Arabidopsis thaliana: one gene and its partners. The protein of the gene in region 1 purifies or fractionates together with the protein of each later gene. This does not show direct contact. Each region holds a gene or a part of one and is shown in the gene's direction. Other genes may lie near its edges. The genes, in order: AT1G74050, AT5G61170, emb2171 and AT2G27720.

The links.
Region 2: the proteins of AT1G74050 (region 1) and AT5G61170 fractionate together in Arabidopsis thaliana (co-fractionation; one large-scale study listed by BioGRID). This does not show direct contact.
Region 3: the proteins of AT1G74050 (region 1) and emb2171 fractionate together in Arabidopsis thaliana (co-fractionation; one large-scale study listed by BioGRID). This does not show direct contact.
Region 4: the proteins of AT1G74050 (region 1) and AT2G27720 fractionate together in Arabidopsis thaliana (co-fractionation; one large-scale study listed by BioGRID). This does not show direct contact.

What each region holds. Positions count from the first base shown.
Region 1 is NC_003070.9:27,845,214-27,851,269, reverse strand, and holds AT1G74050 (Ribosomal protein L6 family protein), read left to right. Parts: upstream 1-2,261; 5' UTR 2,262-2,589; coding exon 2,590-2,846; intron 2,847-3,274; coding exon 3,275-3,381; intron 3,382-3,497; coding exon 3,498-3,679; intron 3,680-3,858; coding exon 3,859-4,014; 3' UTR 4,015-4,232; downstream 4,233-6,056. Other genes in the region: AT1G74060 (Ribosomal protein L6 family protein), read left to right, coding at 1-227, 524-630, 760-941, 1,082-1,237; AT1G74055 (uncharacterized protein), read right to left, coding at 1,557-1,991; TET17 (tetraspanin-17 protein), read right to left, coding at 4,430-4,729, 4,812-5,258; IMS1 (2-isopropylmalate synthase 1), read right to left, coding at 5,704-5,842, 5,959-6,056.
Region 2 is NC_003076.8:24,608,077-24,613,821, forward strand, and holds AT5G61170 (Ribosomal protein S19e family protein), read left to right. Parts: upstream 1-2,955; 5' UTR 2,956-3,081; coding exon 3,082-3,165; intron 3,166-3,420; coding exon 3,421-3,511; intron 3,512-3,583; coding exon 3,584-3,767; intron 3,768-4,053; coding exon 4,054-4,126; 3' UTR 4,127-4,488; downstream 4,489-5,745. Other genes in the region: AACT1 (anthocyanin 5-aromatic acyltransferase 1), read left to right, coding at 705-2,063; AT5G61180 (Putative endonuclease or glycosyl hydrolase), read left to right, coding at 4,791-5,241, 5,329-5,745.
Region 3 is NC_003074.8:1,164,627-1,170,477, forward strand, and holds emb2171 (Ribosomal protein L14p/L23e family protein), read left to right. Parts: upstream 1-2,623; 5' UTR 2,624-2,712; coding exon 2,713-2,725; exon of another isoform or gene 2,726-2,779; intron 2,780-2,952; coding exon 2,953-3,237; intron 3,238-3,321; coding exon 3,322-3,363; intron 3,364-3,599; coding exon 3,600-3,682; 3' UTR 3,683-4,097; downstream 4,098-5,851. Other genes in the region: AT3G04390 (Aldehyde oxidase/xanthine dehydrogenase, molybdopterin binding protein), read right to left, coding at 749-883, 1,035-1,139; AT3G04410 (NAC (No Apical Meristem) domain transcriptional regulator superfamily protein), read left to right, coding at 4,211-4,312, 4,451-4,579.
Region 4 is NC_003071.7:11,816,084-11,821,153, forward strand, and holds AT2G27720 (60S acidic ribosomal protein family), read left to right. Parts: upstream 1-2,612; coding exon 2,613-2,700; intron 2,701-2,788; exon of another isoform or gene 2,789-2,834; coding exon 2,835-2,879; exon of another isoform or gene 2,880-2,922; coding exon of another isoform or gene 2,923-2,938; coding exon 2,939-3,171; intron 3,172-3,260; coding exon 3,261-3,287; 3' UTR 3,288-3,495; downstream 3,496-5,070. Other genes in the region: AT2G27710 (60S acidic ribosomal protein family), read left to right, coding at 846-933, 1,223-1,455, 1,561-1,587; AT2G27730 (copper ion binding protein), read right to left, coding at 3,973-4,176, 4,282-4,320, 4,686-4,784. UniProt on the Arabidopsis thaliana protein: Plays an important role in the elongation step of protein synthesis.

The sequences.
Region 1 (6,056 bases):
AACAGGAATCCTGATCTGATCAGGGGAGTTGGTAAATACTCAAGGTCTCAGATGTACCATAAGAGAGGTTTGTGGGCAATCAAGGCCAAAAATGGAGGCGTTTTCCCCCGCCACGACGCTAAATCTAAGGTTGATGCTCCGGTGGAGAAGCCACCGAAGTTCTATCCAGCTGAAGACGTGAAGAAACCTCTCCCCAACAGGCGCACGGCAAAACCAGCCAAGCTCAGGTACTTAGCTGATACACTGTCTCATTGTCTTGGAGTCTGAAATCTAGCTCAATGCAATAGTTGTTTTCTTTGGTTCTTAAGGAGTGCTTTGTATGCATTTAAATCTTTGAATCTCCCGAAATTTTTTGACTAGCTTAGTGTTTTGAAATCGTTAATTAGTCATTGTGGTCTGTTCTATTTGGTTTGTGAATTTATCTTGATTTCTGTGGAAAGTTTGCCTCTTTTGCTTGTATTTTGTGTTACATTGTTCGGAATTTGTTATGTTGTAATCCGATATTCATATTTCTCTATTGCAGAGCTAGCATCACTCCAGGGACAGTGCTTATCATCCTTGCTGGTAGATTTAAGGGCAAGAGAGTTGTCTTCCTTAAGCAGCTTGCCTCCGGTTTGCTTCTTGTGACTGGTGAGTTTTATGCTAATCTACTTTCTTTATTTGCCACATTCTTTATTCGAAATGCAGAACGCCCATTCACTAAACTTGCTTTCTGTATTCTGTATAAAGTTGACATTCCTGTTTTGTTATTGACCTTAGGACCATTCAAGATCAATGGTGTTCCTCTGAGACGTGTTAACCAGGCCTATGTCATTGGTACTTCCACAAAGGTTGACATTTCTGGAGTTACCCTCGACAAATTCGATGATAAGTACTTCGGCAAGGTTGCTGAGAAGAAAAAGAAGAAGACTGAAGGAGAGTTCTTCGAGGCTGAGAAAGAGGTATCCCAAACATTCTTCTTGTCTTTCTCTAAGAGTCATTTGGTTCTCATTTTGTAATAGACGATTAAAGTTCTCTCCTTTATACACTACCCAAATTAAAAGCTATGCGTGACCTCCATATACTTTTTTTCCTTCCGCAGGAGAAGAAAGAGATTCCACAGGGAAAGAAAGATGACCAGAAAGCCGTGGACGCAGCTTTGATCAAAGCTATTGAAGCAGTTCCAGAGTTGAAGACTTACCTCGGAGCAAGGTTTTCATTGAAACAAGGAATGAAGCCCCATGAGCTTGTTTTCTAGATTTCATTACTTTTTTTCTGAGGTTTCTAGTGTATCTGTCTCCTGAAGTTTTACACTCCAACTGGTTGGTTCTGTTCTCGTCCACTGACCAGAGACATAAAATCTTGGCTGCTGCTATCTGGATTTCTGTCTTATATGGATAATTTATCAATCCTGTTTTTGAAGGAGAACTTTTCACAAGATTCTAGTAATGCTTAAGTCATGACGAAGTGATGAAATTGAGAATTGAAAATAACATTGCAATAATGATATAGTTTAGCTTACAATCTACTTCGAATATTGAAACTCTTATTACTAGTCTCTGTCACATGCACCGAGATCAAGCTGGAGGTGCTTCTAGACGAATTTGATCATTATCTTTAGGTGTTTCTTTGCTAGCACAATCAGCAACTTTAGCTCCGGCCTCAACATCTCCGGCCAAACACCGTCTCCATTTTCGTCTCAGCCAACCTAAAAGCCCACCACTCTTTATCATCTCCAACGGATTGACTTCAGCCACTAGACCAGTTCTCTGGCGGCTCCGTGCGCAGAATCGACCCAAGAAGCAGGAGAGAACAGCAAGAATGATGAGAACAGATATGACAGCGAAGAAGGGTCCAATGGAGCTGGAAGAGTAATGGTTTGGAGCGTTTGGTGCTGCGATTAGATTGGCATTGGTAGCCATAGGTGTGATCTCATTGCCTCCTAATTGTTGTTGAGGTTGTTGTTGGATAGGAAACAATGACGAGCTGCTACTACTACTAGCCATAGCCATTGAATCTAATGAAATTTTGGTTTTCGGTGATCAAGATTCAATATTTGTTGATTGAGTAACGGGGTCATTAGTATATATATACATAGGCATGTGCACATTGATCTTTTGAAGAGCTTTTAAGCCGACCAATGTTTGTTGAAGAAGGACATGTAAAGGTGAATAAAGCGGAGAAATCCTCATCAGCTTCATCAAAAGCGTCTCAAACTAATTATAAATGATATATGTGATCCATTGCACTCTTACAGGTGAAGGAATCGTCTTGCTCTGATTTTGGCGTTGGTCAAATTGTGTGGGGATTATTAGCCTGAGTTTTTAGATAAACTACTCTCTAACTCTGATTTTTTTATCATCCTGTCAAAATAGTTTTAGGTGAAAAGATTTAATACTACAAAGTTGTAAGAAAAAACAAATCCTATTATGCATGTTACGGTCCACATTAAAAGGCCGATATAATTGTAAAGCCCATGAGCCCAAGAAAGCCCTAAAATTTAATTAGGGTTTCAGTGTCTTCAAATTCACCTATCCTCAGCCTCAACTCTCTCCTCTATCCACTCTCAGCCGGAAAATTTTTCCTTGATTCATTACGACAGAGAGAACCATGCCGGCGAAACAGAGGACCCCGAAGGTCAACAGAAACCCTGATCTGATCAGGGGTGTTGGTAAATACTCGAGATCCCAGATGTACCATAAGAGAGGTTTGTGGGCTATCAAGGCCAAAAATGGAGGCGTTTTCCCACGTCACGACGCTAAATCTAAGGTTGATGCTCCGGTGGAGAAGCCACCGAAGTTCTATCCAGCTGAAGATGTTAAGAAACCTCTCCCCAACAGGCGCACGGCAAAACCAACCAAGCTCAGGTACTTAGTCTGACACTGGTATCGATGCAATTATCTTCCATGTGTTTGGTTGATTTCTTTGGCTCGTTTGCTAAGTGGGTTTGTATAAGATTTGAATATCTGCTGGAAAAGTGTCCAAATTTTGCATTGTGTAAATCATTTGTCTCTAGGATATTTGAAGAATAGTTGAAATGCATTGGTTTGTGAAGATTGTTAGTGGAGTTAAACTTGAATTTCAAAAGGTTCATAATTTCTGTGAATACATCTAGTTTTCTTATACATTACTGTTATTAGTATGATTAAGCTTGTCTCAGGTTGATAGTAAAAAGAAAAAAAGCGAATTTGATTTTCATTTGTATACCAAATTTAATGTCTATGCTCTGTAACGTCTTCAATAGATCTTATATATGTTTCCAACATGATCCGATCTTCTTATATCTGTATTGCAGAGCTAGCATTACTCCAGGTACAGTGTTGATTATCCTTGCTGGTAGGTTCAAGGGAAAGAGAGTTGTCTTCCTTAAGCAGCTTGCCTCTGGTTTGCTTCTTGTGACTGGTGAGTTATTCTCTATCTGTTCTCATGAACTTGTCTCCTATAAATCATTTGAAGCGAAGCTCATTCACTGATTTTTACCATCTGAATTGTTCATCCTTTTTTTAACAATTCTTTAGGACCATTCAAGATCAATGGTGTTCCTTTGAGACGTGTTAACCAGGCCTATGTGATTGGCACTTCCACAAAGGTTGACATTTCTGGAGTCACCCTCGATAAATTCGATGATAAGTACTTTGGCAAGGTTGCTGAGAAGAAAAAGAAGAAGACAGAAGGAGAGTTCTTTGAGGCTGAGAAAGAGGTATAACCTTATATCGCAAAACATGGAAAGGACGCAATTCATCTTGTGTTTCTCTCCTTTAAATTTGGTTATCACAGTTTGTTCCGGAAGAATAGACATTGAAAATATCTTTATATCACTTGTTATTTTCCAAACCAAAACATATGCTTGACATAACATCTCTCTTTTATATTTCACAGGAGAAGAAGGAGATCCCACAGGTGAAGAAAGATGACCAGAAAGCTGTGGATGCAGCTTTGATCAAAGCCATTGAAGCAGTTCCAGAGTTGAAGACTTACCTTGGCGCAAGGTTTTCATTGAAACAAGGAATGAAGCCCCATGAGCTTGTTTTCTAGATTTCATTACTTTTTTTCTGAGGTCTCTAGAGTATCTGTCTCCTGAAGTGTTTTACCTTCTAAATGGTTGTTTTGTTCTTGTTCACTGAACACATACAATTTTTGGCTTATACATTCTCTGTTCTTACGTATGGACAAACTATCGATCCTGTTTTTGATTGTGAGCTTTGTAGCGTGGTTCGTGATAGAAATGGGATAATTATTGTCAAAAAAAAAGGGGATCGTTATGCTATATAACTCGGTATGAAATTGAACATAAATATAGAATAAACATCAAAATGGTATGTATGTGCAAGCTACATGAACATTGGCGTTATCTCATTCAAAAATCATTCACCGTTTTCTATAGGCATTTCTACAAATCTGACACTTTTTGATGTAATTTGAAGTAAGTATTCTAGGATTAAATCATAGATCAACTATAAGAACCTCGATAATCTTCGTTTTCGTGGATAGTCTCCTTGAGAGACCAAGCTATAGCAAGACTGATGCAGGAAAGGACTAGAGCAGGGTAAGCAAACATCGAGAGATATTTCCATTGATGAACAATGGCTTTTAAGATGCTTAGTTGGCAGCCTCTGCAATCTAAACAATACTCATAAGAACACTCTTCTGGAACTTGGTTCCGTTCATACTGATGTTTCCAACTCCACTCGCCTGGCTTGTCGAACATCGTTATGGTCCCACATCCCACCGGTTGTGCACAGCAATACTTCTGCACATATATCCTAAATATAAGCATGCACATTTTCATATAGACATGTCTCTTATTAATAGTAAAAAGATTCAAAACTTACCCAAACATTGCTGTTTTTGCTGGCATTGTAATTACAGTCATGTTTGTGAATGATACAATAGGTTACTTTCTCGAACTTCTCCTTAGAGACCAACCTACCAAGTAACTGTGGCACGGTACGGTTGTCCTTGGCGGGATTCTTAGCTATGCCAAAAGTGGTGTTGTAAATGGAACATTTGATTGAATAATAAGATACAATGATAATGAGCACAACCATGCCGTAGAAGAAGAAATTGAAAAGGCGTTTGGAGCGGCAACAGATTCCGTATAGACCGATCTGAGGAATCAGCAGAAGAAGCAGACCGAGTAACGTGAACTGGCTTGAGGTTTCTCGGATGCAAGAAGACATTGTTGTTTTTTGGTATAGACCTGTTCCCATCATTGTGAGGCCTATACTTATCAAGATTATTGTTGTCATGGTTAGGAATCCAGTTCGCACTTCTGACATTTTTGAATCTTGGGGAACGTAAAACCTTTTGTATTCAAGCGAATTGTTGTTTGAAAATTTGGAGTTTCTTTAAAAGAGATTGAATCAAGGAGATGAACGAGTTCTTAAAACTTTTCTGGCCAAGTTTCTGTTGTCTTTTGGTTTGTTTGTCATGGAAGGTAACAATTACGAAATAAATCTTATCTTAGTTTAGTTTAGTTTTGGTAGTTAAAAGATTGCTCAACGGTCGTTCCTGTTAGGGCAAATGCCTTCACTATTTATAGAAAATTTGTTCTTGTTTCAATGTTTTAACCAAATACTCTGTTTTATATCATAGTTATTTTAGTAAACCAAAACTCATATTCTTTTTATACAAACAATAACGGTAACAAAAAATAAAAATCTTTTAGACGTTTACTCATCTAAATTGTGATTTGATCTCTGAGATTTGCAGGTAAGATTTTCTTCAGGCAGGGACTTCGTTGGTCTCCAAAGGGGTTTTACTTAAAGTGGAGGTGTGTTCTTTGAAACCCAACATTTTGTTCAAAGCTCCAACATAAGCTTTAACGCTCGACACAACAATGTCCATTCCTGCTCCGGTTCCACTGTAAGAACCCAAACTCAGTGAGTCAGAGTAGTTACTGCGATTCTTTTCTTTAGCTTCAGTTGCTAGATTAGTTTCAAGTTTCAAACAAGGATGATGAAGTTAAAATGAATTTACCTAAAAGTTCTTTCAACAGATTCACCCGTTACCGCGTTTGTTGATGAGTAGTTGTTGTCTCCGCGGATTAGAACCCGTGTGGTTGCAATAGCATCAAT
Region 2 (5,745 bases), on another chromosome or scaffold:
TGGTTTATAGATTTTATCTGCTTTAGAAATTAACAAGAGACAAAGATTAGGTAAAAGCATAACCGACTTGTGTTCTATGAAAACTTAAGTGACAACTAAACATCATGAATATTCAGGAAATCCTGAAAATTTAAACAGAATTATAGTAATTTCTGAAAAACTCAAGAAATTATGGAATAAAAAGAAAAAAGAAAAAACTATGGACACTTTTAAATTACTCAAACTAGTTTAAGGCTTTTGGAAATTTCACTTTTTGCTTTTTTTTAACTCGAGAAAATTACAATTTTATGTAGACACATTTTGCTCACAAATGTTTATTTATATATTTTCCATAAATTTATTTTTCAGCCTTTTATCTACAAAAATTTATCTTCTAAGAATGTTTTTACCACCAAAAATAATAAATATAAACCACAAAAATAAAATTATATATTTTATATATATATATATATATATATATATATAACAATTTTTATCTATGATATCTGGCAGTCGCAGTTGGCTTAAGCCGCCTGGCCGCCTCTGGAGGGACCAAAATAATTCAAATGGTAATTACGTGCCTTGGCTTCCAACCAACGTTTTTGACTAGGGCTGACTCGGTAGCTTGTTATGTTAGTATAAGAGTTAACTCCATCTGATACTCAGCTGAATAAACTCATACGTACAAAGGAATATTATCTAAAAGACGAGAGTACAAGTGAGAAATGGCGTTAAAGGTGATCAAGATCTCCCGAGTCAGCCCTGCAACCGCCTCCGTCGACCCGCTCATTGTCCCACTCTCGTTCTTTGATTTACAGTGGCTTAAACTCAACCCTACCGAGCAAGTCTTCTTTTACAAACTCACCGAATCATCATCATCTCGCGACGTTTTCTACTCCTCCATCCTCCCCAAGCTCGAGCGATCTCTTTCACTCATCCTCACTCACTTTCGCCTATTCACGGGTCACCTTAAGTGGGATTCACAAGATCCAAAGCCGCATTTAGTTGTTCTCTCAGGAGACACACTCTCTCTCACAGTGGCTGAGACTGATGCGGATTTCTCACGTATCTCTGGCAGAGGGCTTCGTCCAGAGCTAGAGTTACGCCCTCTAATACCCGAGCTACCGATTTATTCTGACTCGGGGGCTGTTGTATCTCTGCAAGTCACTTTGTTCCCGAAACAAGGCTTCTGCATTGGAACCACAGCCCACCATGTCGTCTTGGACGGCAAAACGGCTGAAAAATTTAACAAAGCATGGGCTCACACTTGTAAACATGGCACCATACCGAAAATTCTACCAACGGTTTTAGATCGTTCTGTCGTCAATGTTCCAGCCGGACTTGAACAAAAGATGCTCGAACTTCTGCCGTATCTTACGGAGGACGACAAAGAGAACGGAAGAACCCTAAAGCTACCTCCAGTCAAAGAGATTAACGCTAAAGACAACGTCCTCCGAATCACCATCGAGATAAGTCCTGAAAACATTGAGAAACTCAAGGAGAGAGCCAAGAAAGAGTCAACACGCGCTGAGCTTCACTTGTCAACGTTCGTAGTCACGTTCGCCCATGTGTGGACATGCATGGTGAAGGCACGTAGTGGTGACCCAAACCGACCGGTTCGTTTCATGTACGCTGCTGATTTTAGGAACCGGTTAGAACCACCAGTCCCTGTGACATACTTCGGGACTTGTGTCTTAGCCATGGATTTCTATAAATACAAAGCTAAGGAGTTTATGGGAGAAGATGGATTTGTCAACACCGTCGAGATTCTCAGTGATTCGGTCAAACGTTTGGCTTCACAAGGGGTAGAGTCAACTTGGAAAGTGTATGAGGAAGGAACAAAGACAATGAAATGGGGTACACAGTTGTTGGTCGTAAACGGGTCGAACCAGATTGGGATGTACGAAACGGACTTCGGGTGGGGAAGACCCATTCACACTGAGACAATGTCTATCTACAAGAACGATGAGTTCTCTATGTCCAAGAGGAGAGATGGTATCGGTGGCGTCGAGATTGGCATCTCTTTGAAGAAACTTGAGATGGATACTTTTCTGTCTTTATTTTACAAATGGATTGGAAACTGAAAACGTACGGTCTTAATCGATCCCAGCTTTTGCTTATTTGTATTTTTATTTCTAGTTCAATAATTGCCCTATATGTACTACGCAAATTTGTATTGATTCTGTCTTTTGAATTCTATTTTTTGGGGTACAATAATCATCCATATTTGAAATATTAGTAGACTTTTCATGATCAGTGAATCTATTTCCCCCTACTTTGAAAAATCGAAACTTTGATTTCAGAAAAAAAAAGCTGTGATACGCAGTGGCGGAGGTACAGCTTCAGGAGGGGGGTCACTTGACCCCATGACTTTTACAAAAAAAAATTTAATAGCTTAATTATTTGGTATTTAGTATATAATTTGGGTTCAAATATTAAATTGACCCCCTTACTCGAAATTCAAATCCTATTTTTGCCCCACTCAATTACCATATTTTGTGTAAATCAATCTCATTATTCTTCTTCTATTAATTTCCTGAACCCTATATTAAATTTTGGTAACTGGTTTTATTATTCCCCTAAAAATACATGAATTTAGATAGACAAAACAATTAAATAATGTGGGTACTAATCTTTACATTTAGATAAACAAAAAACAATTTTAGTAACAAAAAAGATGTATATCATTTTTCACCAGATTTTTAGTAAACTTTTAAATAGAAAAATGATGAATAACATATGACTACTCGTGTATTTTCCACAAAGAATTTTTTTTCGGAAAAACAACAATAATTTACGAAATTGTGATATTATTTTTTGTTCTATTTTTTTATCTATAAAAAATTTTTTTTTAAAAAAAATCCTTGTTTTAATTTTCTCAGAAACGTGGGACCACAATATTTTCCAAAGGGTTCAGAGTTTAGCGGGCCGAATATATGTCATAGGCCCATAGGCTAAAACAATAAGGGTAGTTATGTAAAATCCGCTCACACACACTCCTCAAAAGCCCTAATCGTTTATCATAATTCCTCAATCCCGTCTTCAAGTATCGCCGACGCCGCAGCACAAAGGAGGAGAAGAAGGATCAAAGGCGCGACAACAATGGCGACAGGTAAAACAGTGAAGGATGTCTCTCCACACGAGTTCGTCAAGGCTTACGCTGCCCATCTCAAGCGTTCCGGCAAGGTAACGAATCGTGATTCTTAGCTTTTGGTCCGCATCGTTTGTCCCTAATCTAGTATTTTGATTGATGTTTGGGATTACGATTACCTCATGAAACTGCAATGATCACTGCCTGATTGAAACTTGAATTTGGCCTTACTCTAGAGCATTTTGAATCGTAACTACAAATCTCAATAAAGTCTAAACAGTGATTTGCTAGTGTCATTTCAGTGAAGATAGGTTTCTGCTTTTGATTCCAATGTTGTTCCTTCCATGTAGATTGAGCTGCCTCTGTGGACAGACATCGTCAAGACTGGTAAACTTAAGGAGCTTGCTCCATATGACCCTGACTGGTACTACATCAGAGCTGGTATGTATATATAACATCTGGTCAAATCTTCTACATATTGGATTTAGCATTGTCTTTATCTGTTCTATTTAGCTTCCATGGCTAGGAAGGTTTACCTGAGGGGTGGTCTTGGAGTTGGTGCCTTCCGTAGGATCTATGGAGGAAGCAAGAGGAACGGAAGCCGTCCTCCTCATTTCTGCAAGAGCAGTGGTGGTGTTGCTCGTCACATTCTTCAGCAACTCCAGACCATGAACATTGTTGACCTCGACACCAAGGGGTAAGTATATTGTCTCTAGTTTAGATTTCTCATTGGCCTAAATTAAGTTAATACACTGGTACAAAGAAATTGTAGGAAAATAAAAATTGTATAACACAAGTTAGACACTTGGATTCGATTTTCGCTTAAGAAATCTGCTGAAACTGTAATTGTGACCTATTAAAACTCACTAGATGAAGTGTGTATAAATGGTTTTAGAATGTACTACTGCGTCATTTACTAATATACCTATGGAAGCAATTGTTCATCTTCGCTAGCTTATGATTACATGTTCTGATGTAACCAGTGGAAGGAAGATCACATCAAGTGGTCAGAGAGATCTCGACCAAGTCGCTGGAAGGATCGCAGCTGCTGTCTAAATCATAGCGACTGATGGTCAACTCCAAGTTTAAGGTTTATGTTTGAGATTTAGTAATGGAATGAGTTGCATTTGATGAAAACCAGTAGTAGAATTCCCTCTCATTTTTGTTTTGATGAGTTTTCGTTTACAAATTGCCTCTCTTTTTATTCTCAGCGACTTATGGCTTATATATTTGATTTCATCTTTGACCTCCTTTCCTTTCTATTTCATGAAATTAGTTATCAAAATTTTGATAATGGCTTGTTTAGGTTTTTACATTTAAGCTCCTCGTTCTTCTTCAAAATCAAAGTGTAGAAACAGAGATTACCAATAACTAATTGTGAACGTTTCAAAGTTTTTAAAATTTCTTGTAAACGGAGGTAACCATTAAAAAACGAATTACATTTATTATTTTGTAATATTCAAAACAAAATCAAAATCTTGAGAATCGAAACCGTTACGTATACTACAATTTATATGATCACATTTTAAATTTCGAAAATTGAGGGACATTTCAAATTCAAGAAAACATATACTCCACTAATTTAGGGTGTCTCCGTTAGTTTCTAAAACTCGTTGCCCCTTTTAATTCCAGTTCAAAAGCTCACGCCTCATACACAATCTCTAAACCCTGACCTCCCATTTCAGTTTCTCTGTTTGAGAACACTTGATTTCTTTTAAAAATGGCGGCTACAGTAGCAGAGTACGCAACTGCTAAATCATTGGCGTTGCTGGACACAGAGAACCGCGAGGTTCTCAATAGTTTTGATGCCATTTTTACTCATGGCAACACCGATCAAGTCGCTCCTCTTGATGAGCCTCTGGTCTTTAACCGCTTTGGACTCAGTCACATCTCGGCCAAAGACACCCATCAACCAAAAACGGACGTAGATGAATCAGCGAAGGCGGATTTCGCTGGTGCAAAAACGTCAGTTTGGTGGGACATTGAGAACTGCGAGGTTCCAAAGGGTTGTGACCCTCATGGGGTTGCTCAGAGCATTAGATCAGTTCTGTCGAAAAGTAACTTCTGTGGTCCGCTCACTATTTATGCCTATGGTGACACAAATCAAATCCCTTCCTCTGTACAACAAGCTCTCTCTTCCACCGGCGTATCTCTCAATCACGTCCCTGCCGGTTAATCTCTCTTCTTGAAACACCTGATTAGCTATAAATTAAAGTATGAATATTTTGGAGTTAGTGAGACCAGTCTTTGCTTTGTAGTCTCTAATGGCTTAATTATTCTCTATGTTCTTGATGATGGTGAGCATTTAACAGGAGTAAAAGACGGGAGTGACAAGAAGCTCCTTGTAGATATCATGTTGTGGGCAATGGACAACCAAGCTCCTGCTAACATAATGCTCATCTCTGGTGATAAAGACTTCTCTTATCTTCTTCACAAACTAGGTATGAAGAGGTATAACATTCTTTTGGCTCGACCTGAGAAAGCTTCAACGCCACTCATCGCTGCTGCAAAGACCGTATGGTTATGGACAAGCATTTTTAATGGCGATTGTCCTAACATACCTATTGATCTCACTACTAGACGTCATCATCATGATTCTGCCTATGAGGTATCAAGACATTTGGGTCCTAAACAAGCTCAAGGGACCAAGAGGGGCCGGAGTTTTTGTGAATTAT
Region 3 (5,851 bases), on another chromosome or scaffold:
AGCTTTTCCTTCTTGATGACATATACAACTTTTATGGTCTGCAGTTTTTTCTCATTTACAATCTCTTCTTTAGGTAAAAAAAAGTGTTATGTTGCCTAACCAAAGAAACTCACTGTTTAGTTCTGTTCTTCAAATTTCATGGCATATGTCAAAATAAATAAACCTTTTTTAATAGAGTTCTAGAGCGTAAAGACTGGATCGAAAAGGAGCCCATCACTGGTAAATTCAGCCAAGAGTGATCCATCGCATCAATGATTTGTAATGTTAAACAAAATTTTAATATTTAGACTTAGAAGTTGTAATTTATTGGTTTATTTTGGTCATCATAGAAGAATTATTTACATATTTTATATTTTTATTTATACATTGTTGCTAGTTTTTTTGGAACTATCAAATTTTACATTCTTTGTTTTTTTTTCTCCAAGAAGTTACTGATTTGAAGAAACCTATATCTTTGTAATGTTACATGTACTGGAGACTGGAAGTTACTTACATATATGACTTTGACCAACATTTCTATTCGGATTAAACAAAGTATAATCCTAGGTTCATCAGTTCCAAATTTGTTTCTACCAATTCAGAAGTGCTTCTTCTTATGGTTGCATACCTTGAGAAGAGAAAGGGAATGTTGTGAGTAAAGCATCTTCTTAAGGTATTTTTTAGTTTCCAGGTCCGCAAGTGAGTAAAGCTCATGGTTTAATCCATGTATGAGCTGCATCTCCCCACTTGAGCTCTTCGAAAGCTACCCTCAGCGAATGGTGTTGAAATTGTGTTTAGATGTAACAGGCTCCAATTTTGCTATAATATGCTTAACATCGTCTAAAACTGCAGGACCATACATATCAGAGCTCGCAGAAGCAGCAGTAGGTGACGCATTAGGAACCTATTAAGAGGCAATCAAAACGACAAGAGAGCAATAAAAGTTTGTGAGGCATTTGGAACCTATTAAGAGACGACAAAAATGATAAGAGAGAACAATAACAGTTTTGTCTTGGCCAAAGTCCACAGAGTACATGTAACCGAGTTAGAGGTACCTTGTATGTGCTTGTTTCTGACACAAAAACCGAACTAAGGGGAATGTTAAAGGCCGCTGCAGCAACCTTTGTATGCATATCCTTAACCCATTTCAACACCTCCATGTGTCACCAAAACAGTCCCATTGGTGCAAACATGAACAAGAGCACCGGAAGTATCTTAAAATCCAGATTCTAGATTTGCAAGCAACGGTAGTGCAATGCTGAGATTTCCAAACAAGCTTTATATTATTCTTTTAACTTTAAAGTGAATCCTTTTTCTAGCAAAATGAGGACAAACTTTTACCAATTTTCACATTTTTAGAAAAATATTCAACTCACTTTGATTTCTTAAGGGCTCAGCTGAATCTAGTTTTCAATGTCTGCAGAACAAAATGAAAATGAAAATTTTATTATCTCAAAATCCATTCTATTTTTTTTTTGTGTGACATTAATCAATGATTTCAAAATAACCAAAAACATACAAATTTTATGTTTCATTCTTATTATTATCAATTTATCATCCTCATCCTCCCTCAGCTCCTGAAAACTATGTCGTTTTGGAAAATGACGAAAATACCCTTGTATCTGTATTGCTATGTAAACTACTGTTGTTTCAACAAACATAAAATTTTGAAAAAGTAATAATAAGAATAAAATAATTTATTTCATAATCTAAAAAAAAACGAATAATCTAATAGATTGAAGGAGGACTTAATAATTAGAACAAGGTTATATAATTAGATATATTCTTTTTTTTTTTAAGGTTATATAATTAGATATATTCGTTTTTTTAAAAGGTTATAGAATAAGATTTCATTGCATCTTAAAACCAGACAACTTTCAGAACTGAAGAATGACGAAAAATTAATAATAGAGGAGGAGAGGAGGAGCTACATCAACATTATTTCTATTTTTTCAGCCAATCAGAGCGCTCCGGACTTCGCCCACTCGCACCAACCTCGCGCCACGCGCTCCATTCCATGCCCACTCGCACCAACCTCGCGTTGAACGCGTGTCGTCGATTTCTGTAGGGGTAAACCCACAAAATCATGCCTATTTTACATCTACTCGCTTTGTTTCCAAAACAGCCTCGAGTGACTTTTTTCTTTTGTTTTTTTTCTCAAAACCGTATTAATTCTAATGCAAACCGAACCAAAATTAATTTTTATTTCAAAACCATCTAAACCAAACAGAAATCACATGTAATTTCAAACCCGAACCGAAATCAATTGTCATTTCATCAAAACCATGTAAAAAGCTTCTACGATTGTTTTAACTTGCAACTGAAAATAGCAATCCTAATTTATCAACAGATAAAGATAGATACATGCAACACTTTACTTTTTTATTTTTGGTTTTGAGAAGATGATTACAGTTGTGATTTTGGTGGAGACAAAAATGTCCATCTCTGTATGTTGCTAGCCGATCAAATTTTACATTCAAAATCCTTTTTGATAAAAAAAATAAAAAAATTCAAAATCCTTTATGATATATTGGGCCTAAGATGATTTCCAAAAAAAAGATGATGAGAAAAGAAAGAGAACATTATTGGGCTTATTGTTAAATTATTTCGGCCCATAAAATAAAGTCCAGGTCAGCTCACAATACATGAAGAAAACCCTAGTTCAAGCGTATATAAACCCTCTCGGCGCTGCCATTGAAACTCTTTCAAGGAGAGAGCTGCTACTCTGCAACCATGTCGAAGCGAGGTAAAAAAACGTTTCTTCATCTCTAATTCGCTTAACCTAATCTGTGTACATCTCGTATGAATCATATCCTGTTTTCGCTTATTTTCTTCATTTCACTTTCAATGACAATGGTTTTACCCTAATTTCTATTAGTAAAGCTTCTGGATCATGAATATTAGTCTTATATGTCTCTACTTTGGTTGATAGTGTTTAGATCTGTAACTTTTGTGTTTGTTTTTTGTGAATAGGAAGAGGAGGAACCTCTGGTAACAAGTTCAGGATGTCACTGGGTCTTCCAGTGGCAGCCACTGTGAACTGTGCTGACAACACCGGAGCTAAGAACCTTTACATCATTTCGGTTAAAGGAATCAAGGGTCGTCTTAACCGTTTGCCATCAGCGTGTGTTGGTGATATGGTTATGGCTACTGTTAAGAAAGGTAAGCCTGATCTCCGTAAGAAGGTGCTTCCTGCTGTCATTGTTAGGCAGAGGAAGCCTTGGCGCCGAAAGGACGGTGTCTTCATGTATTTCGAAGGTAATCCTTTGCTTTTCTTCTCTGTGATTTGCATTTCAATTTCTCTGAAGTGTGATTGTCTGATAGAAAGTTTTGGTTTTGCAGATAATGCTGGTGTCATTGTCAATCCCAAGGGTGAAATGAAAGGTAAGAAGTTGATGTTTTTGCTTATTTGTTATTGAATTCTCTGGTAGATGTATGAGTTGTTTATGTATGCAAGTTTTGATAACCTCCTGATGAGTTAGTAGTTACTAGAGGAAGTATTGTGTATCTGAATTTATCTAGAAGTTTGATATGGGGCAACTCAAAGCCAATCTCGTAGTGATAAATCAGTAGTATCATATTTACTTGTAGCTGATGAGTCTGTTGTGTGATGTAATTAGGATCTGCTATCACTGGACCAATCGGAAAGGAGTGTGCTGATCTGTGGCCAAGAATCGCAAGTGCTGCGAACGCCATCGTTTAAGCAAGCTTGAGATCTCTATGTTTTGTGTTGAACGTTTAGCATTATCTCTATTTGGGATTGTTTTTTGTTTTTGTCTTAGACTTTTGTTATGCCTTAAAGCTGATTCTAGTTCTTATAAGAACCTTCGTTTCTCGTGCCAGTTTGTCACCTCAGTGTTTTAGTCTATCGTAAACTTGTGATTTGATTCACTGGTTCTTGTGTTTGTTCGGTTTTGTTTTAAAAAACATAGAATTCAAGTGATTCACACTATTTTGTTACGCAATTAGAAATATGTTTAGGGCGAATCAATTGTGTGAACAGACTTAAGTAGAGCCTAAAAATTTGTATATAACTCTTATATTAGCAAGTCAATTGTGGATTTGGGAATCTGTTTTTCAATATTTCATGAATAATAGGAAAATTGTGTATATATCCGTCTTCTCCCTCCTACCAAAAGAACTTGCATAATAGCAACAATGGCGAAATACTTCTGATCCCTCTTTTTCTCTCCATTTTTTTTAAAACTGAAACTTTATTCACTCTCGAAAAATGGTGAATCCGGTGGGTTTCAGATTCCGTCCGACCAAAGAGGAGATCGTCGACCATTACCTCCGGCCAACAAATTTCGATGGTGACACGAGCCATGTCGATGTAAGTCATTAGCATAGTCGAGAATGCTATACCAAGTTGGTTTAGTGGGTTTCTTGATGTGCGTCAAGATGCTCAAATCGAGAGGATGCTATACCAAGAGAGGAATGGGAAACATGGTTGAATGATGATGATAAACAGAGGAATATCATGTTTATGCAAGATAATCGCAATGATTACAGACCTCCAAACTCATTAACTGGTGTCTTCAGTGATTGTAGCAGTGATGATAATGATTCTGATTTACTATCTCCAAAAACAGTAAGCTAAATTCTACTATGTTCACCTTTATAATCCTCTGTTTCAGATTTCACCTCACAAAGCTATAATTTCGGTTGATATCACAGAATTCTATTGAAACTCCAAGCACTTGGGACAGTCTTGCTGGCTCAAATCGTCAGATAGGCCTAATCAAAACTCAACAATCTCCTGACTCAACAATCTAGTTAGTGTCATTAACTCAAGAGGTGAGATTTATTATTTACTTTTACTTTTAATGCTAATCATGTTACTTTGTTTTCACCACTCACAACATTGGAACCAGATTAAAGAAATTCAAATTGTTGATTCTTTCAAAATATTCCAGGTGAGCCAAGCTCTGGGTCAAGGGACTGAGATTTGAGAGCATAAATTGGGTCAAGAGAAGATCAAGAAGAAAAGAGCAAGTTTCGTTTACACGATGATACAAAGATTAGTCAAGAAAATTCACCAATCTTCTTCTATCTCAAGAACATGATAACAATAGATGAGACCAAGAACACCGTTTAGTACTTTTCCAAATTTGTAGAAAAGTTATGTCTCTCTTGTTTTGTAACCTTGTGACTGTGAGTAGTGAGTACTCTTGTGATATAGTGAGTGGTTATAGAAGAACAAGTTGTATGAATGTCATGTCTATCTTTTTTTGTAAATTTTCCCTATTGTATGTGTGCCCCAATATATAAAACCGGTGAATTTGTGATATAATGAGAAGTGGTTCGAGAAGACAAAGTTGGATAATTTCATTTCATACACTATACAACTAATAAAATGGTCAAGTTTTCATTGACATAGCAATCAACATCGAGTCTTTTTAAGTCCTACCTAATACCCCCAAAAGATTTCAGGTTCTCAACAAGAGAAAGCAAGGATAATATCAAATGAAGATGCTTCTATTTTAGACTTTTAGTCTACATCTTACGTGCAGCATGTCACTTTTATGTTTTAAGTCCAAACCCCATTAGACTAAGAGAATATTACGTGATTAGACTCTTTAAAACACTTTAAATGGAGAAGACACTTTAGATAAATTATTTTACTTATTTACCCTTTAACTACATTTTTTCCATCGGTCATCTTTTCTCTCTCCTTTTCCCATCTCTTCTCTCTTTTTTTCTTTTTTTTTCTCACTTTATCGAAGAAAAAAACCTTTCCGAGAGTATCTTCAATTCCAAATCTGCAATTAATCTCCAAATCCACTCAACGCGATGGCTTTCTTTAAGATTGTTAATGGGTAAATAAGTAAAAGTTCTAATAAGGTTAATCTCCGCAATTTTAATCTCCGCA
Region 4 (5,070 bases), on another chromosome or scaffold:
TGATTTTTTCTTTGTGAAACTTCCTATACGGTGGAGCAAACACGTTGTGTAGATATATACCGATTCTAAGTATGTAACGATGCTGCTTAAATAATTTCTAGACCATGCAAGATATAATTGTTTTTTCTCGGATTAAGATTCATTTACATAAATGATTTTAAATGGAATGAAATCTACTATATATTAAAAGGTAAATTTTTGTAAATCTTTAATTATTATTCATATCCAATGCCATTAATGTTTTTATATAATACATTTTAAAGATTTTTCTAACTTACTTAAAAGGATAAAAAATAAAAAAGATTACACATATAGACACAATCTAGCTACTGCAAAAAAGATTTTTTTAAAAAGCATAAATCTACTTTATTTACTAATTATAAATTTAATTTGTTTCACTTTTATTAGTGATAACAAGATTAATTGTTTTGTTTACACAAACAATATTGTTTTATGATTTCACTTATATGAACATTATTATCAAGAGTTATAAAGTTTGCAAAAGAAATAGGTTTTTATTGACTGAAGAATTGAGAAATTTTCTCATCACCTTTAAAATTAATATTGGGCCTAGCGATGAACCGGGCCAACGCCCATTAAACATATCCGATAATAGTTTAAACCCGGAGAGACTCAAAGTAGAGAAAACCCTAATTGTATATAAACTAAAAATACTTCCTTAATTCTTCACTTCTTCATCGCCGTCTGCACAAAACCCTAATCTCACAATCTCCTACGAGATCTATCAGTCTCCACGGTAAACGACACTAATCCATTTCAATTTCTCCATCGTCTTCTCCGATCAAATTCTCCATTTACTTATCTGTTCACTATTTTTCCAGAAGATGAAGGTTGTTGCCGCATACTTGCTCGCTGTTTTGAGCGGAAAAGCTTCACCAACCAGTGCCGATATCAAGACTATCCTTGGATCAGGTTCGTTTTGATGAATCGCAATCGATTTCATTACAATATGATTAGATTCGTTGTTTGAGTCGCTGGAGAATTCGATTTGAAATCTTTATTAGATAGTTGAGAACTTGCTTAAGCTGAAATGATATGTATATTAGGGATTTTTATGGTTCCTATCGACTTAAACGGTGTTTATGATAGTCGAGATGCGTAAGTATTGTTAAGAGTAATGATTTAGTGAACAATGGGATACAATAATGAGTTTGGGATGATTGATGGAATGTGGCATTGTTGTTTTTGTTTGGTGTTGCAGTTGGTGCTGAGACAGAGGATTCTCAGATTGAGCTTTTGTTGAAGGAAGTGAAAGGAAAAGATTTGGCTGAGTTGATTGCTGCTGGAAGGGAGAAGTTAGCTTCAGTGCCGTCTGGTGGCGGAGGTGGTGTTGCGGTTGCTTCTGCTACATCTGGAGGTGGAGGAGGTGGTGGTGCTTCTGCTGCTGAGTCCAAGAAAGAAGAGAAGAAGGAAGAAAAGGAAGAATCCGATGATGTAAGTTTACTTTCCTTCTAACAAAAGTCTTGATCTTAATAGTAGCTTGAAATTTAACCTAAAAATGATGGCTCACTTGTGTGTGTTTTTGTTTTTAATTTGCAGGACATGGGTTTCAGTCTATTCGAGTAAGCTGGTAGTAGCATGAAAAGTCCGGTTTTGTTGTCCTCTTTTAATATTGTAACCTTTTGAAATCTATATGTTGTTGTTGTTTAGTTTGTATTCGATCATCTTTTTTAGACATTGCTGAAATTCTCAAGAGTTTTTGACCCGAATGTCATTTGCACTTTGTTGTTAGCATTTCTGCTTCTATCTCAATCGCCTTTGTCACTCTGGAGTTTTTAGTAGCCAACAAAAGCATTGGTCCTAGTCATGGTCTTAAATCTTGACTCGAATGGTGATGAGATACCTCTAGCCTTGACTTTGCTAATGATACGTTGTCGTTCATTTGGAACCTAGATTCAGATTCGGCTTACGTATGACTTCAAGAATAGTATTATTGTAAGAAAAGGATAAAAAAAAAATTCTAGTCTTGAATTGTTCCCCCTTCAATGCCGTCCAATATGTAAATACATCATAATTCGTATGAGAAAATAACTAGACTATGCTAAAACTTTGACACCACAAATTTATTAGTAACTTGCAAAACATATCACTTGTCAACTACATATACCGAGAAATGCCATACGCAGGCGATGTTTCGGAAACAACAGGTGTAGAGTTGAAGCTACTTTTGATGTCATCGACCAAGAAGGTGCTATAGAAGACGAGGTTAGAGGTGAAATCCCATCCATCAAACAAAATAAAACTAGAGAATTGTATAATCTGGTCGTTCTCTTCTCAACATCAATATTACCCGTCAATCGAAATATTGAGCCCATATAAATATGGGCTTGAAAGAACTGGGCCTAAATAAAATTTTAAATTCGGAGATACATTGATAAGATTAAAAACCCTAAGCGTATATAAATCATATAGTTTTCATTTTTTCGTACTTCTTCTCCATCGCCGTCTAAAAACCCTAATCTCACTCCGCCTCCTGCGAGATCCATCAACACTTCCGCAGTAAGCGCCTCCATTTCCATTTCTCTCTCCTTCTTCTCCTACGTAATCGTACTATGTTTGATTTTTGATCTGTTTTTGTTTTTCTTCAGAAAATGAAGGTTGTTGCTGCGTTTTTGCTTGCCGTCTTGAGCGGGAAAGCTTCCCCAACCACTGGCGATATCAAGGATATTCTTGGATCAGGTTCGTGACTTTGATTTGAGCATTGGAATGTATACATGATTATTCTAGTAGTGAGAATTTGTTTAACTTGAAATGTTATTGGAACTAGGAATTGTATATGTTTGCTGGAAATGAACAGTGTGATGCAATAAGAGGCATTATGGTGTTGGTATTGGACTGTGTTGTTATAGGTGATTGCTGTAATTGTGGTGGAGGAAGAATTGATGGAGTGTGGCAATTGTTATGTTTGATTTTGCAGTTGGTGCTGAGACAGAGGATTCTCAGATTGAGCTTTTGTTGAAGGAAGTGAAAGGGAAAGACTTGGCTGAGCTAATTGCTGCTGGAAGGGAGAAGTTAGCTTCAGTACCATCAGGAGGTGGTGGTGGTGTTGCGGTTGCTTCTGCTACATCTGGAGGTGGAGGAGGTGGTGGTGCTCCTGCTGCTGAGTCCAAGAAAGAAGAGAAGAAAGAAGAGAAAGAAGAATCCGATGATGTAAGTTTTACTTTCTTTCTGACAACAGTTTTTTATCTCTTCAAATGAAATGATGGCTCACATGTTGTGTGTTTTGTGTCAATTTGCAGGACATGGGTTTCAGTTTGTTCGAGTAATGCGGTATACTTGGCATTTGGTTTTGCTGTACCCTTTCGAAATCTTTATGTCGTTGTTTAGTTTGTTGTATTCGACTATCTTCTTAGACTTTGCTGAAATTCTCAAGAGATTTTTTTACTCAAACATCAGTCCACTTGTGATTGGCATTTATATTTCAAACTATTGCCTTAGTTACATCTTCAATAGTCCACTTATGAACGATCTTTAGTAAATTCTCTTATTCACTCGCTTACTAAGAATTAAACCTAAAGAGAATACAGAAGAATTCCCTAGAGTAAGGATTTGGTGTAGTGTAAAACAGACTCTTCCCTCTTTGTATTGTTCAGATTCTGGAAACATAAGATATGTGAATCCAATCAACACAGTACTCGAGATATGTTCTGATAAAAAAAATGTTGGTACTAACAATTTCAGTTTGGATGGGAAGGATTATCCGAATAAAGATATACCTAATTCTGATCAAAAGAGAGCGAAAATAAGTCTCTGGAGTTTAGATTGAGAAACTAAATGTCAACAAACCGGAAACAAAAAAAAACTGTGTCAAGTAACAAAAACAAAAGAAAAGACTCAAAGAGAGTAGCAGCAACGTAAGATTTGATTCCAAAGTGTCTCACAAGGGAGGAATGAGTAATGCTACTCCCTGTTTTATTCACTCATCACAAGTCCATCAATCAATCTATCTCTTTACTCTTGGACCTCTGGCTGCTTCTTTCCACCTGCTTTCAAGTACCAACCAATCGAACCGACAATAGCAACCACACCTGCCACAACCGCATAGTTTCTGTTCTTGTCTTCTGACACCTTTGGGCCCGACTCAGCTGATGCAGATGCTGTTGCACCAGCAACCTTTGCTTCGCTTGCTGACCCTGCTGCTTGTTCTCCAGGACCCTAGTAAGTTCATAAGAAGTTTCAGCCACACAAGACTGTAAATTTTCTCTTTATCTAAACAAGCTATTCGTAGTTTCAACAACTGGAGTTAAAGGAATTATTTACCTGTCGAGCTAACTTCTGAAGCTTCTCCTGCTCCATTTTCTGCAATGTAGAAAACCATAAACAAGGTAAAATATAAGGACAGAAGATGACTTACTCAAAAATATAAATTGTTTTGAAAAGAGTAAGTATTATGTAACAGGTTTCTAGTTCAAGCTAGATGCTACAAGGTTTAGATAACAAATAGATTTAACTTCTACGATTAAGACACAAGATAAGTTTCTTATAAGTAAAACCAAATATTATCTAATAGTTTACAACAGAGACAGATAGAATCAAACAAGAGCTTGATAATAAGTGTTCATCATCAACATCACAAAAGGAAAGTAAATATACTTATAGTTTTTTCGAGGATTCTTAGTCTACTATTATTGTTCACATCAATAAGGAAAGCTTCTGATCTTTACCTTAATGAAAACATTCTCAGCGGCTCTCTCCTCTTCGCTAAGAACTTTGCCACTAGAGAACCTACGAGACACAATTCTCAAAGCATTTCTTGTTGCCATGGTAATGAAGAAGTATCCTGTGCATAAAACATTAAACTCATTTTAACTAAAGCAGACAGTGAATGAGAGAGATTCTAGGAACTAACAAAATCGTTCACTTTGAAAACCCTGAAATTGTTTGAAAACTCCATAAAAACTATTACAGAAAACCTATAAGGAGTAACATTGGACTCTTACAATCCTTTTCGTCATCATCAATCATAACATGGTAAATTTGTTTTTGCTAAATAAACATGGTGAATTAAGATACTAATGTATCAAGTGTCAACTATTACTGTATCCCACG